Linked DNA regions of Mus musculus. The protein of the gene in region 2 interacts with the protein of the main gene of each other region in a biochemical or structural test. Links are inferred from orthologs where the notes say so. Each region holds a gene or a part of one and is shown on either strand. Other genes may lie near its edges.

Evidence for each region. The genes of interacting proteins can lie anywhere in the genome.
Region 1: the proteins of Araf (region 2) and Gna12 form a complex in vitro, tested with the Homo sapiens proteins (2 studies listed by BioGRID). The link is inferred for Mus musculus from reciprocal best matches to the Homo sapiens genes ARAF and GNA12.

Annotation. Positions count from the first base shown.
Region 1 is NC_000071.6:140,825,687-140,833,459, forward strand, and holds the start of Gna12 (guanine nucleotide-binding protein subunit alpha-12), read right to left. Parts: upstream 4,746-7,773; 5' UTR 4,611-4,745; coding exon 4,308-4,610; intron 1-4,307. UniProt on the Homo sapiens protein: Guanine nucleotide-binding proteins (G proteins) are involved as modulators or transducers in various transmembrane signaling systems. Activates effector molecule RhoA by binding and activating RhoGEFs (ARHGEF12/LARG).
Region 2 is NC_000086.7:20,849,553-20,856,804, reverse strand, and holds part of Araf (serine/threonine-protein kinase A-Raf), read right to left. Parts: exon of another isoform or gene 6,879-7,252; coding exon of another isoform or gene 6,819-6,878; coding exon 6,723-6,818; intron 6,561-6,722; coding exon 6,457-6,560; intron 5,340-6,456; coding exon 5,237-5,339; intron 5,148-5,236; coding exon 4,993-5,147; intron 4,876-4,992; coding exon 4,777-4,875; coding exon of another isoform or gene 4,773-4,776; exon of another isoform or gene 3,900-4,772; intron 3,488-3,899; coding exon 3,346-3,487; intron 3,246-3,345; coding exon 3,218-3,245; intron 3,129-3,217; coding exon 2,989-3,128; intron 2,893-2,988; coding exon 2,690-2,892; intron 1-2,689. UniProt on the Homo sapiens protein: Involved in the transduction of mitogenic signals from the cell membrane to the nucleus. May also regulate the TOR signaling cascade. Phosphorylates PFKFB2.

The DNA of each region.
Region 1 (7,773 bases), on a different chromosome or scaffold from region 2:
CTACAGTATGACCTGGTTACCACACTGTTGAATATTCATCCCAGACACATGAATACATAGACATGGACAAAAAAATGTAGATGGAACATGGCAGTCCACGCCTGTCATCCCAGCACTTGGAAGGGAGAATCAGGAAGGTCAGTTCAATGCCAGCCTCAGTAACATGCTAAGTTTGAGGCTAGCCTAGGCTACATGAGACTGTGTCATGACTAATCAATCGACCAACCAAACTAAAAGAATGCACATGAATGTTTTCAGAAGGCCTATTTATACTAACCAGAAGGTGGGAAGAGCCCAGACACCCCTCACCAGGTGAACGGAAAGGTGGACCATTACTCAGCAATAAGGCTGGAATTACTGCCATGTGCAGTTGCTTACACAGGGATTGCCACAGAAATGTTCTGATAAAAGTCAACTCCAAAAGCTCACACTGCGCAAATTCCATTTATAGAATATTATGTGTGGTGTGTAGTGCACACACATGAGTATGTGGGGTGCACACAGAGGCCAGAACAAGACATCAGGTGTCTTCCTCTATCACTTTCTGCCTGATTGCCATAAGAAAGAGTCTCCAGTATACTGGAAGCTCATTCCTGCCAGTCTGGCTGTCAAGCAAGCCACATCTGTTTCTGGTGCCTCAATGCTGGGGTTCACAGGCCCTGCCCAGCTTTTTACATGGGTGTTTGGGATTTGAATTCAGGACCCCTGCTTGCAAAACAAGTGCCCTTACCCACTGAACCAATATTCCTGAGCTGACAAAATGAGAGAATTGGGCAAACTGAGTGATAATGCCAGGATGGGAAGAGGAGTGGGAGGGGTTTAAGGTTGAAAAATTAAATTCTAATTAATTACAGCAGATGAAACATGTTCAATAATGAGTAAAATAGTTGGGAAGAAAAGATGGTGTGGAAGTAGAAGAGGGATTTGTTAGAAGGGGCTCAGTGGGACTAGGAGGGGAATGGAAGAGAGTGATAGGGTCTAAAAATAACCAAAAGACATCTTATACATGTATGAAATTGTAAAGGACTAAAAATTTTAAATTATTACTAAAAAAAAAAAAAAATGAATCCAGTTTTAAAAAAAGGCATTGTATCAAACCAAACAAGCAGAGTCCTTATTAACAAGTCCTGCTTCTGTTGCTAAGGAAGCCAGTAAAAGATTGTTGGCCCATGGTTTTCCCTGCTGTTCTGCTCCCACCCCAAGGTCTGAGGGGGGAGTAAGGGGCAGGAACATCCAGCTTATAACCCTCCCCACTAATCCCCAGCCTGCCAGGTCCACTGGGGCACAGCCAGCAGAGGTGAGCAGTGTCCTGTTTCCTGCGATCCACTGATCCACTCTCAGGCTCTGCCTGCCTCCCCAGGAGTCCTGCTGACATTGAGAACATCCAGACAACAAGAGGGACAATAGCTAAGGGGCAGTGTAAGAACACAATCAACAAGAGCCAGGCAACATGGCATCACCAGAGACCAGTTACCCTGCTACAGCAAGCCCTGGATATCCTAACATAGCCAAAGTACAAGATGACCTTAAATCCAATCTTATAAAGATGATAGAGGCCTATAGAGAGGAGATATATAAATCCCTTAAGGAGAATACAATCAAACCGGTGAAGGAAACGAATAAAACTGTCCAAGACCTGAGAATGGGACTAGAAGCAATAAAGACAACACAAACTGAGGGAGTCCTGGAGATGGAAGGACTCAGGAAGAGGTTTTATGTCAAAAAAAGCAAGCTAAATCTAAAAAGTTCATGGCACAAAACACCCAAGAAATCTGGGACAGGATGAAAGGACCAAATTTAAGAATAATAGGAACAGAAGGAGAAGATTTCCAACTACAAGACCCAGACGATATTTTCAACAAAATCATAGAGGAAGCCAGGAAAAGGGGATGCTGATGAGCACAGGAAGCCAGGAAAAGGGGATGCTGATGAGCACAGGAAGGAGACTGACTTCTCTAAAACGCACTTAATAGAGCAAAGTAGACTTGAGATCTATGTTCCCAAATAGTTTTTCTGCCTCCCAAGCTGAAAGAAACTGAGCCCTCCAAGCCTACCTGGCTCTGGGGTTCAGAAAAGCAGCAAAAATAAAACCAGGCTCCTTAAAGGAGATGCTGGAAAACAGGCCTTGAGTGACAGTCAAGTTTTACAAAATCCTTGAAGATGCCGGGAATTCTGAACAATATACCCATCCCTTTAAGGTTTGCATTAATGTTTATGAAGCACTTGGCCAGAACCCCTTGCTTCCCCGAGGCTCTCTCTGGAAGGTGAAAAGTGTGTGATTTTTCCTTCATAAGATTTTTTCCCCATCTTGAACCCAGAGGAGCTACTTGTATTAAAATGAAACATTTAGTAACAAACATGTTGAGTGTGGGAGTGTTGGCCCGGAAGTCTGGCTCCCAGGATCCCAGCCCAACCGCCCTACACCAAGGTTTCTCAAGGCCGAACTGAAAGACGTGTCCCAGATGGGCTTCTGCGTCCCCTTGCTAACTTAAAAAAAAAAAACCAAGGCCCTGTAAAAATCTAGTTTCGAGGGTAGCTTTTCTGATAAGACAAACCTCTCTACCTGCTTGAAACCGTGTTCCTCAGACCTGTCCCCCCACCCCCCAAAAAACCAGGGGCTTGGAAAGAATCAAGAAGAAAAAGAGAGATGAGAAACTTGACGAGGAAGCTAATCTAGGTGCAGAATAGACTCTGTGTCTAGACTTTTGCTACATCTTATTCCAATGTTGAGACAGGCTCTCACATAGTCCTGGCTAGCCTCAAACCGTCCATGCAGCTAAGCCTTGAACTTAAATCCTCCTGCCTCTACCTCCACAGTGCAGGAGAATCTCAAAATGCAGGAGAATGCTACCTTGACCAGTTTATCCCACACTCAACCCAGGGCCTTATGCACATTGGAAGAGACTTACAGAGCTACAGGCCCAGTTCTCCACAACTTTCTTTTTGACCCTTCTGCAAAGACTCACTGTATTAACACTGATCCTAGACTCTGTCAACATGACTGTTTCTTTCACATATACGGCACAGAATATAAAAGGCACAAGGGACAGGACCTTGAGTTCATTACCACATGAGGATTATTGCATCTAGTTCAAACAGACAAAACAACTATGCAACAATGAAGGACACGTGGACCCTGAATGACATGAGAAGGCTTCTGGAAGGTTCTTTGTTTTTGTGTTTTGCAGTGTAGAGGTTGGACGCCTTGGGCTTGTACTTGCTAGACTGGTGCTTTCCCACTGAACCATATTCCTAGTCTAATTTTTTTTTTCCTCTTCCTTTTTTTAGTTCTATAATGGTCCTGTACATATGCTTTTAAAGCAGGTTTAGTGTCACATACCAAGATGTTTTCTAATACAACTATATATCTTGGATTAACTTGGAGACTGGGGTCGGGGTGAGGCCGGGGGTACAGGTAGGGAGGTGGTTAGGGACGAACACGATTGGCACAGAACTGACCCTTGTTTCAATGCTGGGTAGTGGGTGTCTCGAAGCTCCTTCTAACATCTCACCTAACTTGGTGTGTATGTTAAATCACCATACTAAAAGGTTTAAAGAACAAAGTATGGGTGGCACATGCCTGTAATCCTACCACTGGGGAGACGGGTCAGAAGGATAAGGAGTTTAAGGTCAGCCTTGTCTACATGGCAAGGCCAGCCTGGGCTTCATGACTCCCTATCTCAAAAATACAAACACTGGCAACTTAGTCTAGTTAGTAATGTCCTCCCTAGCACGCATGAAGTTCTGGATTCAATCCCAGCACTACACGAACAAAGTATGGTGACACAGCGCCCTCCTCCTCTGTAATTCCAGGATTTGAGAAGTTGAGGAGAGAAAGGATCAGGAGTTCAAGGTCATTCTTAGCTACAGAGTGAGTTCAAGGCCAGTCTGGGGTATATGATATAATGTGTGTGTGTGTGTGTGGTGGGGGGAATAAAATGGTCAATTCTCATTTACAAATAAAAAACGAAGGCTGATGTCCTCCAACCTACACTATAAACTTTGCATGCTGGAGGGACAGGGAGAGTTGGCGACCCTCAATCCACGTGTCCAGCCCTAACACCCTATTTGTAACCCAAGTCCCTGAGAGTGGTCCAGCTTGCATTCCCACGGTCCCCAAGCGTCCAGGGCTCTGCAAATCTATCGCGCCCCTGGGAGGTCACGGGAGTAACCCCAACTGCATTGCTTGAGGTCCCTATTGGAAGGGAGGGGCGCCGGGTGGCAGGGTCGCGGGTCCGTGGAGAACAAAGGGGGCGGGGCCCGCGCGCCACCTGGACCAGGTGTGTGTGGGCGGGGCCGCGCGTCACCTTAAGGATGTTGTCGAAGATGGTGTCGCGGAACTCCAGCAGCGCCTTCTGGTCGAACTCCCGGCCGTGGATGATGCGCATCTGCTTGAGGAAGGTGGACTTGCCGCTCTCGCCGGCGCCCAGCAGCAGGATCTTGACCAGCCGCCGCACCGCGCGCCGCTCGCGGGCCAGCAGCGCGTCGATGTCGCGGCTGCGCCGTCGGGCCTCGCGCTCCGCGTCGCGCGCCGCGCCCGCCCTGCGCTCGCGGGCTCCGGCCTCGGCCGGCAGCAAGCAGCGGCTAAGGGTCCGCACCACCCCGGACATGGCCGCCCTCAGGCCGCGGCCGCGCCCCGCTGGGGCCCGCGCGCCATGGACGCCCCTCAGCCGGCGCGGCCCTGCCGGGCCAGGCGCCGCCCCGCCCGCCGCTCCCTCAGGCTGCGTCCGCCGCCGCCGCCCCGAGGCCCTCACTCGCCGGGCCGGCTGAGGGGCGGAGGGGAAGGCGCGGAGGGCGGGGCGGCGCCGCGCAGAAACTCTTTTATTGGTTGGGAAGTCTTCTATCTTGGGCAGCGCGCTTTTTTACTGGACAAGCGTGCCTTGGAGGAGGCGGGCACTCCTGTGGTCCTTGGGGCGGAGCCGGTGCCGAAAAAGGCGGGATCTTTTCGATGAGGGAGCTTCTTATTGGACTGCTGAGCAAACTTCTTTCTTTCAGAATGAAAGGGAGGTGGGGCCATTGAGGAGGAGGAGCTGAAGCCCTTCGCAACCAATTAGAAGTGCTCTGATCGTTTGTCAGTCACAATAACTACGCTTGGGATTGGAAGTTGTGGGAAATGGGGCGAGGCCAAAAGTGCCAGGTGTACAGAGTGACTCTCTGCCTTGATTCCCAGGTTGGTCCGGCTGTGAGCCCAAGATGTGGCTGCAAAGTTGGGAAATAGCGATGAGGTCCTCCTGCTCTTAAGTTTAGGGAGAAAGCTCAGTCGTTTTCCTTCCAAAAACATTGAAGCAGGGTGGGTCATCATTTTCAAACAAAAGCTGCTTTGAGTGTTACATGGGCCCCAAATAAGGAGAAAACAAACAAACAAAATTATTGTATGGGTCTCCCTAGGCACTTTCTTAAAATATGATTAAGGGGAGATGGTTCAGTGGGAAAGAACTGTGAAAGTGTGAGGACATGAGTTCAAATTTCCAGTTGTGCCTGTAACCCCACCTCTCAAAACCCAAGATAAGACCAATTCCAGTAACTTGCTGTGCAGCTATCCTAGCCCCAATGATAAGCTTAAGGTTCAGTGAGAGAAGCTGTTTGAAACGTTACAGAGGGGAGGCAGTTGAGCGACTTCTTGGCCTTTGTATGTATGTGCACTGGCGCGCGCACACACACACACACACACACACACACTTGCACACACATGCACGAGCGCGCACACACACATCTGTGTTTGTCATAATCACTCAGGCAGTTTGATGTGGAATAGTGGTCTGAAGTGTGGTGTCTGAAGGGTGTTGGTGCTGCATGGAGAATCATTACAGAAGCAAGAGAATTGAGATGAGTTTGAAGCCAGCCAGGGCTACATAGTAACTCTCTCACCATCTTGGCTAGAGATGATGTTGCAAGAGGAGGTCAAGCTTGTGTGATATAATCCCAGTATTGAGAGAGCCCGAGACAGGAAAATATGGAATTTGAGGCCAGCCTGGACTAAAGCTTGACTCTGTCTCAAAATGTTTTTTTTCAATATGTGTACCTGTTCCATATCCCACTTTCTATTACAAACAGAAGACAACCTTTGGTGTTGGCCCTTGCCTTCCACCTTGTGTGAGGCAGGGTTTCTTATTGTTTGCCATTGCATATGCTGGGGTAGCTGGCTCAGAAACTGAAGATAGCCCATCTCTACTTCCCATCTTGCTTGGAGTACAGATGCCTGCTACTGCGTCTGGCTGTGTGTGGATTCTAGCGAATCTGAACACAGGTCCTCACTCCTTTGAAGCCAATGCTGTACCCACTAAGGGATCACCCCAGCTCACGGTTTATTGTCTTTTAAGAGAGGTCTCATTTATCTCAGGCTGGGAAAATTACAGCCAAGGATGACTTTAAACTCCTGATCTTCCCGCCTTTGCTTCCTAAATGCATGCCATGACACCTAAGAATATGTTTCTAAGACAGAAAATGGGGGAATCTGAACCCATGGACTAGAGTTCAAACCTTATTCAGTTTTAAAAACCTAAATTAATTCACAGTTTTCGGCAAATGCTCCAGACATTTACAAATAACTTTATAAATAGCTTGATGCTGGTGTTTATAGAATCATTAACTATTTTAAAGGGCCATTTAGCTTTTTTTTTTTAGTGACACATTGTGGTGTTTTATGGGAGAAATTATATACTGTTGATAGTATCTAATTTGGGACTTTGACAAGGGTTCTGGCCATATCCTTCACATTTGCTAAAAGGCTAAAGTGCTTGAAATAAACACGTGTATCCATGCACTCCATAATAGTCTCTTAATTACCCCTGGCATTTATATGGCATGCTGTAATTTCTAAAGTGCTTTACATACATTATCTGATGTCATCTGTTCTCTCCACACCGCTGGGAGAGAGGCAAGTTACAGGGTAGCTCTAATAAAACAATCGGAGGGCTGGAGAGATGGCTGGCTCAGTAAAGTGCCTGCCAGAGCAAGCGGGGACCCCTGACTTTTGATTCCCCAGAACCTATGGAAAATGCCCGGGTGCTAGTGTGTGGCTCCAATCCCTAGTGGAGGTCAGGAGAAGAGAGAGAGAGAGAGAGAGAGAGAGAGAGAGAGAGAGAGAGAATATCATTCTGGAAGCTTACTGGCCAGCCAGGCCAGCTGAATCAATGAGTTTCAGATTCTCCTGTGTCTAATTTGCTCTTCTGTACTCGTGATGACAGACCATGACCAAAAGCAACTTGGAGAGGAAGGGGGTTATTTTAGCTTACAGTTACAGTTTACCACTGGAAGCCAAGGCAGGAACTCAAGGCAAGAGGTTGAAGCAGAGACTGTGGAATACTACTGCCCACTGGCTTGTTTGCCTGGCTCCTGCTCAGCTAGCTTTCTTATAAAACCCAGGGCCACCTGTCCAGGGCTGGCACTGCCCGCAGTGGGCTGGGCCCACCTATGTTACATTGGTCTACAGAAGATGCCCACAGGCCAGTCTGATTCCTTTTCCCCCAAATCTGTCAAATGACAACTGAAGCTAACCATAACTGTATCAAAAGGAAAGAAAGGGAAATGATTGAAGAAAGATATTTAAAGTTGAGCTCAGACATCCACATATGTACATTTGCATGTGTGTGTGCGCGTACACACTACAAGTACATATTCACACACACACTCAAACATACCATACCCACCCCCCAAAGAATGCTGAGTTCCAAGCACTACCAGTGATTCTTAGGTGTAAGTATGGTTTGTCAATAGCAGAACCTGAACAGGAAGCCTGACCTGCTGCCTGCTTCATATAGTCTGTGGGTTCAG
Region 2 (7,252 bases):
GTATTAACCACTGTTTGAGTACGCAAATGCAAACAACAGGGATAATATTTAGATCACAGAAGACAACAGAGCACCAGGACATTCCCTTCTTGTTTTGATACTTGAGCTGGAACATAACCTTTCATATGCTAAGCACATGCTCTACCACTGAGGATACATACTTACACACAAGGACTAGGGGGTTTTTTGGGGTTTGGTTTTTGTTGTTGTTGTTTCGAGACAGGGTTTCTCTGTGTAGTCCTGGCTGTCCTGGAACTCACTCTGTAGACCAGGCTGGCCTCAAACTCAGAAATCCGCCTGCCTCTGCCTCCCGAGTACTGGGATTAAAGGTGTGCACCACCAACGCCCAGCTCTAGTTTTGGTTTTTGAAACAGGGTTTAATGTATCGCAGGCTGGCTTCAAATTCCTGATCCTCAGCCTACCAAGTGCTAAGAGTATAGACATGTGTACTACCACAAAAAAAATTTTTTTTTGAGACTAGGTTTCATCACATACTCCAGATTTTTTGAACAATCTATGTATTTCTGTGTGTGAAAGTATACATGTATGTGTTAGTACGTGTGTATGAAGACTTAAGTGGAGGCCAGAGGTCAACCTAGGATGTTGTTTTCAGGACCTACTCGAGTTGTTCATGCATTATTTTATAAACTGGTTTTGAGGCAGGAGATTTTTCACTGGGACCTGGGACATGCCAATTAGTCTAGACTGATGAACCTCTGGAATCTTCCTATCTGTGTTTCTCCAGTGCTGAGCTTGTAAGCCTGTGCTGCCACACCCAGCCTTTTACATGGGTGCTAGAGATCAAACATAGGTCTTCTTGCTTACATGATAAGCACTTTACTACATTATCACACCAGTTCTGGTCTCAAACTGTTGTTCCTTCTGCCTCAGCCTCCCAAGTACTAAGATTACAGGCATGCACCATCATTCTCAACACAGGGATTTCTCCCAAGTACTAAGATTACAGGCATGCACCAACATTCTCAACACAGGGATTTGTGTGTGTGTGTGCGTGTGCGTGTGTATAAGAGAGAAACAGAGACAGACAAAGACAGAGGCAATATACAGGTATGCGTGTACATGTACATCTGTGCACACAAACGGAGACCAGAGGTCAATGTCAGGTGTATTCTTCAATCACTCTCCACATTGTTTTGTATGTGGCACACATACATGACTGTGCATGTGCATGGGTGGAGAAGCCAGAGGTTGATGTTGGATTATCTATCTCCCTTGATTGTGTTCCACCTCTTTGGGTTTTTTTTTTTTTTTTTTTTTTTTTTTTTTTTTTTTTGGTTTTTCGAGACAGGGTTTCTCTGTGTAGCCCTGGCTATCCTGGAACTCACTTTGTAGACCAGGCTGGCCTCGAACTCAGAAATCCGCCTGTCTCTGCCTCCCAAGTGCTGGGATTAAAGGTGTGCACCACCACGCCCGGCTCCACCTCATTTTTGGAGACCGAATCTCTAACTAAACCTAGACCTCACCAACTGCCTAGACTGGCTAAGCACCAGTAATCCACTCTTGTCTCTGCTTTCCCAGTGCTAGGATTACAGGTGTGCACCACTGCACCCAGCTTTTTACTTTTTATGTGGGTGATGGGAATCTAAACTCAATCACAAACATATTAAGCACTTTACTGATGGAGCTATCTTCCCAGCAAATATGAAGATTCCTTTGTCTGTGATCATCTGTGTATATAGAGCATGTGTGCCACAGTGTACATGTGGAGAACAGAGGACAACTTTCAGGAGCCAGTTCTTTTCTACCATATAGGTCCCAGGGACTGAATGGACTCAGGTTGTCAGTCTTGGTGCTAAGTGACCTCAGCAGCATAAAGATTCTTAATAGTGGGAAGCCAGTAGATAAATAGAATGCAAATTAGTGCATACTCAAATCATCAAACTTTACAGAGATGAGCTGAGAATAAGTTTTCTTATTGTGGCATCCATTGTGTTTATCTGATAAGAGGGGGGAAGCCCATATATGCATCCTCAGATTGTCAGAAATTATACCTTCCTGATAACAGGGAGTATAGCTCAGTGGTATTACATGTGCTTAATATGGTTACACACACACACACACACCCTATACAACCTTGCTTATATAAAATAAAGGCACAAAGTACTATGCTACATAGTAACTGTAGTGGCTAAAATGGTGCCACCCTGGTTTTTTCAGTGTGAATGAATTAATAGTGTTGATCATACCTTAATTACATCAATTATAATAACTACACAACGGGAATATAGAATATGACTATAATTAATATTGTTGTTTGCATCAAAGAAAATTTTAAGTATAAAATTATGATTAACAACAAGCCCACAACACAATGAGTATAATAGCAGTGACTCAGCAAAAGGAAGGACGGATATGAGCACTCCTGGAGCTGGAATTACATAAAATCTTCATGTGTTAAATAATCATGGGAAGGTCCTATGGCTAGATCTAGTTCCCAGCCAGCAAATAGCAATGTTCATCCAAAGAAAGACCATCATCATTGTCCTCATCTGCAGCCCATTGCTCAGAGGAGAAAGGGTCATCTCTTGGAGAGAAATTGAGCCTCATTATACTTCCAACATGGCACAAATAGAGTACACACCCAGGAAGTACCCCAGCATGGCTTTTTCCCAAACACTAAATGCTGCCTGCCACCATCCTGTCCCACTTACATTCACAGCAACCTCACCTGAGCACCTGCATCTCATTCTTGAAGGCCTGGGCCTGCTCAGCGGTAGGTTGGGCCACCTTGAGCACTTTCACAGCTACATCGCCATGCCAACGCCCCCGAAACACAGTGCCAAAAGAGCCTGTCCCGATCCTCTTCAACAGCTGTACCTCACTGGGTGGCACCTCCCAGTAATAGCCTGAGTCCCGGTACCCCAGGTTCTTCTGTGGGCCAGATGGGTGGCATCAGAGGGGCCTACCCACAACCCTCCGTCATAGCACTCAGGCTATGGTGGCCCCCAAGGATTTCCTATGGCATACCACTTTTTTCTTTTCATCTGCCAAGGACTTCCGCTCCCGCTGTTCTGAAGGTAACTTGGAATGTGGGGACTTCCTCCCTGAAGACACACTAGCTGGGCTAGGGCTACCCCGAGGGGCTCCATCACCACCTCTACCAGCAGCTGTGGTTGTACAGAATGCTGTGAGTGGAGGCAAGTGGGGTGGTGGGGCAGAGAGCTCAGGGTGCAGAAAGGGGTGGGGGTTCTCTCACCATCGGTGCTGAAGCTCTGAGCAGTAAACTGGAAGGAGGTGGGAGCAGAAGTCAAAGTGAGGATATGGCAATAGTAATGGCTCTAAGCAATGCTCCATGCTCCCCACTGTCACCTCCTTGACACCCACCTGCATGAGGCTGGAGTCCATGGGAGCTGTGGTGCTGACCATGTGGACGTTAGGAGTAGATGTGGAGCGGATGCGCTGCAGTGGGGGATTGGCAGGGGCAGGGAATGAGAAGTGCTCCTGGTCACGTTGCTGGGTAAAGGGGCTAATAGAGAAAAGGCTATGAAATCGCTGCAGAAGGAACTAAAAAGCAAAGAAAGCCCAACTCCACCACCCTGAATGTGCGTTCACTCAAACAGTACATGTCTGTTGGTCAGACCAGTAATCATCTGCCCAAGAAACATTTACTGAGTGCCTCCTGTGTGCCAGATGCAACTCGAAACAGAGGAGATCAAACTGTGGATACCATAAATAAAAAGCTCTTGCCCTTGTAGAGTTTTTAGCAGAGGCAGAAGAATAAAAAAGCAAATATATAATGTGCCTGTCAGTGATAGGCACAAAAAGAGGAAAATCAAATGAAGGAGGTAGAAAGTGTCCCTGGGGGAGTCAGGAGTGGGTTCTCAGAGAGGGTAATATTGGGAGAAAGGTCTAAAGAAGGAACAATGAAGGACAAAGATAGTTGGAGAAAGGGTAAGATATGACTTTTTATTACATATCATAATGACATGTATTTTTCAAATATATTATTTATTTTATAATAATGAGCATTACCTATATTAAAATGGCAACGTTTTCAATACACATATTATATTATGTAATACACATTACACACATCATATAACGATTATACATATATCACGTTACAAAACACCTTTTTTACTGTTTTAAGACAGTCTCATGTAGCCCAGGCTGGCCTTGAACTTGCTACTTAGTGGAGGGTAGCCTTGAACTATTGATCGTCTTGCCTCCACCTCCCATGAATTATACCTTACAGAAAAACATTCTTCTGTTACTTTCACCATCCTGAGATTAAATTCACAGGTAAATCAACACACATACACTCATAACTACAAATAATAATACATTAACCTTACTTTTTATATATTATGCAAAACTATATGCTATCATATCCAACATAAGTGAAATAAAAGTACTTTCTGATACAGTAACATTTATTTCAAAGAGAAAAGACTGGGGTGTGGTTATACTGGAAGAAATGAACAAACTAGATGATTTTATATATACACTTGTAATGAATAACACTTGTTATTTACTCTGTATCAGATCTTGCTTTAAGCATTGCAAATATCTCAACCCTTAATCCTCTTCAGAACCCACTAGGGAAAATCTCATCCCCTCTTCCCAGATGAAAAAAATGAAACCTGGAGTGACTGGGTGCCTTACCAATGATCCCACAATCCCATGCCCATATTCAACACTTGTAGGTACTCAATAGTATTTATCACGTAAACAAATAAACGAAAGTATAATCTCTCAGGGTCCTCCAATCCTTCTTTCACTGGCCCCCTGGCCTTTCATCTACGACATCCCTACCTGGGACCCTGGGGGGTTAGCAGCTCATTCACAGAGAGATTTGAGGGAGCCTCCTGCTGCCTGGAGCCTCCAGACAGATCCTGGATGCTGTGGTAGAACCTTGAGGGCATAAAGGTGTAAAACAAGAAGGCTGTGAGTATAGCTTGGCTGACTGTAAGCCCTCGTGCTGGGGCTTCCGTCCTCCCCACCCCTCAAGCCACCCCAGGCTGGGCTCACTGTCGGCGGTTGGTACTCATGTCAACGCAGACGGTGGGGACCTTGGAGGAACAATGCTGGTGGAACTTGTAGCCACAGGTCTGGCAGCGGAATCCATGGAACAGAAACTTAAGGCAGAAGTCACAGAAGGCCAGGCTGAAGAATGTCTTCCGTACCTGCAGCCACAAAGCAGGGAAGTGCAGGCCCGACTGAAGGCCCTCTCTGTCCACACTGTGGCCTCCCCCACCATCCCCATTAGACTTACAAAATTGTGCATGGTCAGTGGCACATCTTCTAGGACCTCCACAATGAGCTCCTCACCATCCAGAGGCGCAATGGCTGTGTCCCAGGCAGTGACTGTCTTTCTTCTGCAAGAAGTATGGGAGAGAATGAGAGCGATGATACACTGGGACCACAGTAGACAGGGAAGTTCCCAAAGTTCCTCTCAGTCCCATCCACGAACCACTCTCCCACATGTTTAATTCTCACTACGTTAGTCACTTTTGGACAGGAGAGATGATGGCTCAGCAGTTAAGAATACTTGCTTTTCTTTCAGAGGACCTGGGTTCAGTTCCCAGCACTCACACCGTGGCTCATAACCATCCTTAACTCCGGTGGGATCTTCAACCTTCTTCTGGCCTCCATAGGCGTGAGGAACACACACAGTGCACACGCATGCAGTCAAAACACTCATACACATAAAAAGGGTAACATTTCAAATAAAAAATAAAGTTAGTCACTATTTTTACTCCCACTTTACACATGAGGAAACAGGCTCAAGCAATTAGGTGAATTGCCCAAGCGCTAGGCTAACAGGTATACCCACCACTCCCAGATTTAATCCATGATCTTAAGCATGTGGTGAGAGGCAAATGAAACTACATCTCAGGCGTAGTAAGCCAGCACCTGAGACACTGAAACAGGTAAAATGAAAACAGGAACTCCATCCAAAACATTAAGGCACCAAGGAACACAAGAATAGAAAGGTCAGGCAGGCGTGGTGGCGCACACCTTTAATCCCAGCACTCGGGAGGCAGAGGCAAGTGGATTTCTGAGTTCGAGGCCAGCCTGGTCTACAAAGTGAGTTCCAGGACAGCCAGGGCTATACAGAGAAACCCTGTCTCAAAAAAAAAAAAAAAAAAAAACAAACAAAACAAACAAACAAACAAACAAAGAATAGAAAGGTCAATGAAGACCACCAACTCCATGGTGTATGGGGACCATGAGAAAAGAAAGAGCTTGTGACTTCAAGAAATGGTGAAAGAACAAAACAGATGAACTCTGGAAGGTGACAGACTGAGGACTTGAGGGCTGAGTGCATAGTGAATTGCAGACCTTCCAATGGTCAATGAAGGGAAACGAAAGATGTCACCTGGGTTACCTCAGATAGTGGAAGACTCCAAGACAAATGAGGAGGAATAAGATGGCACTGAAGAAAGGAGGTGTGTAGGGACCCAGTGAATGGCATGGGGTTTCCATACTTACCCTTTGATGAGCCTGTAGACCACACAGCAGTCCTGGTTGAGACCCCGCACCTTCAGGGCCTTGTCCAAAGAGTCATAGACACTCATGCCTTCCCGGACAGTCACCTGTGTGTGTGTGTGTGTAGAGATTGGGGTCTTCAGTATCCAATAGGTACCCTAGCCAATTATTCCTTCCCTCTGCAGCATTCATTCCCTAACCCTCGCCACCCTTCTGATCCCACACTACGACTATCTGGAACCCCTGCCAGTACTGCCTGAGTGACTCACCACTGTGCGTTGCTTGTTAGGCAGGTACACTTTGACAGTGCCAACTGCCCGAGATGGCTCAGCCCCACTAACAGGAGGGCCTCGTGGTGGTTCCATGTTGCCTAAGATTGTTTTCAAGATGGGCTGAGGTAGGACTGGGCAGCTGCCATAGGCCTCCTAGCAGAGGACAGAGGAGAAATTCAGAGGTCTAGTAATGACAGCCTGAAAGCAGAGTGGCAGAGGACATATAAAATTCCATCTCCAAGTTCCCACTGTTCCCTAAATCCCACTTTTTATGAACCAGCCCAATGATACTAACCCTTCTCTGCTGAGAATCTCCTATTGCTTATGTCATAGTTGAGTACCAAGATCTGAGACTCACTGCAGTGAGGAGACAGTGCACACGGTTCTGGACAGTGCAGAACACATGACTCTCTAGAGATTAATGGGGAAGCCATTATGTACTGCACTGAAAAATCACAGGTCTCAGGCACACAATGGAAATAAACAGGCTGTCTTAGCTTCAGAGAATGGGTAATCAGACACAGACA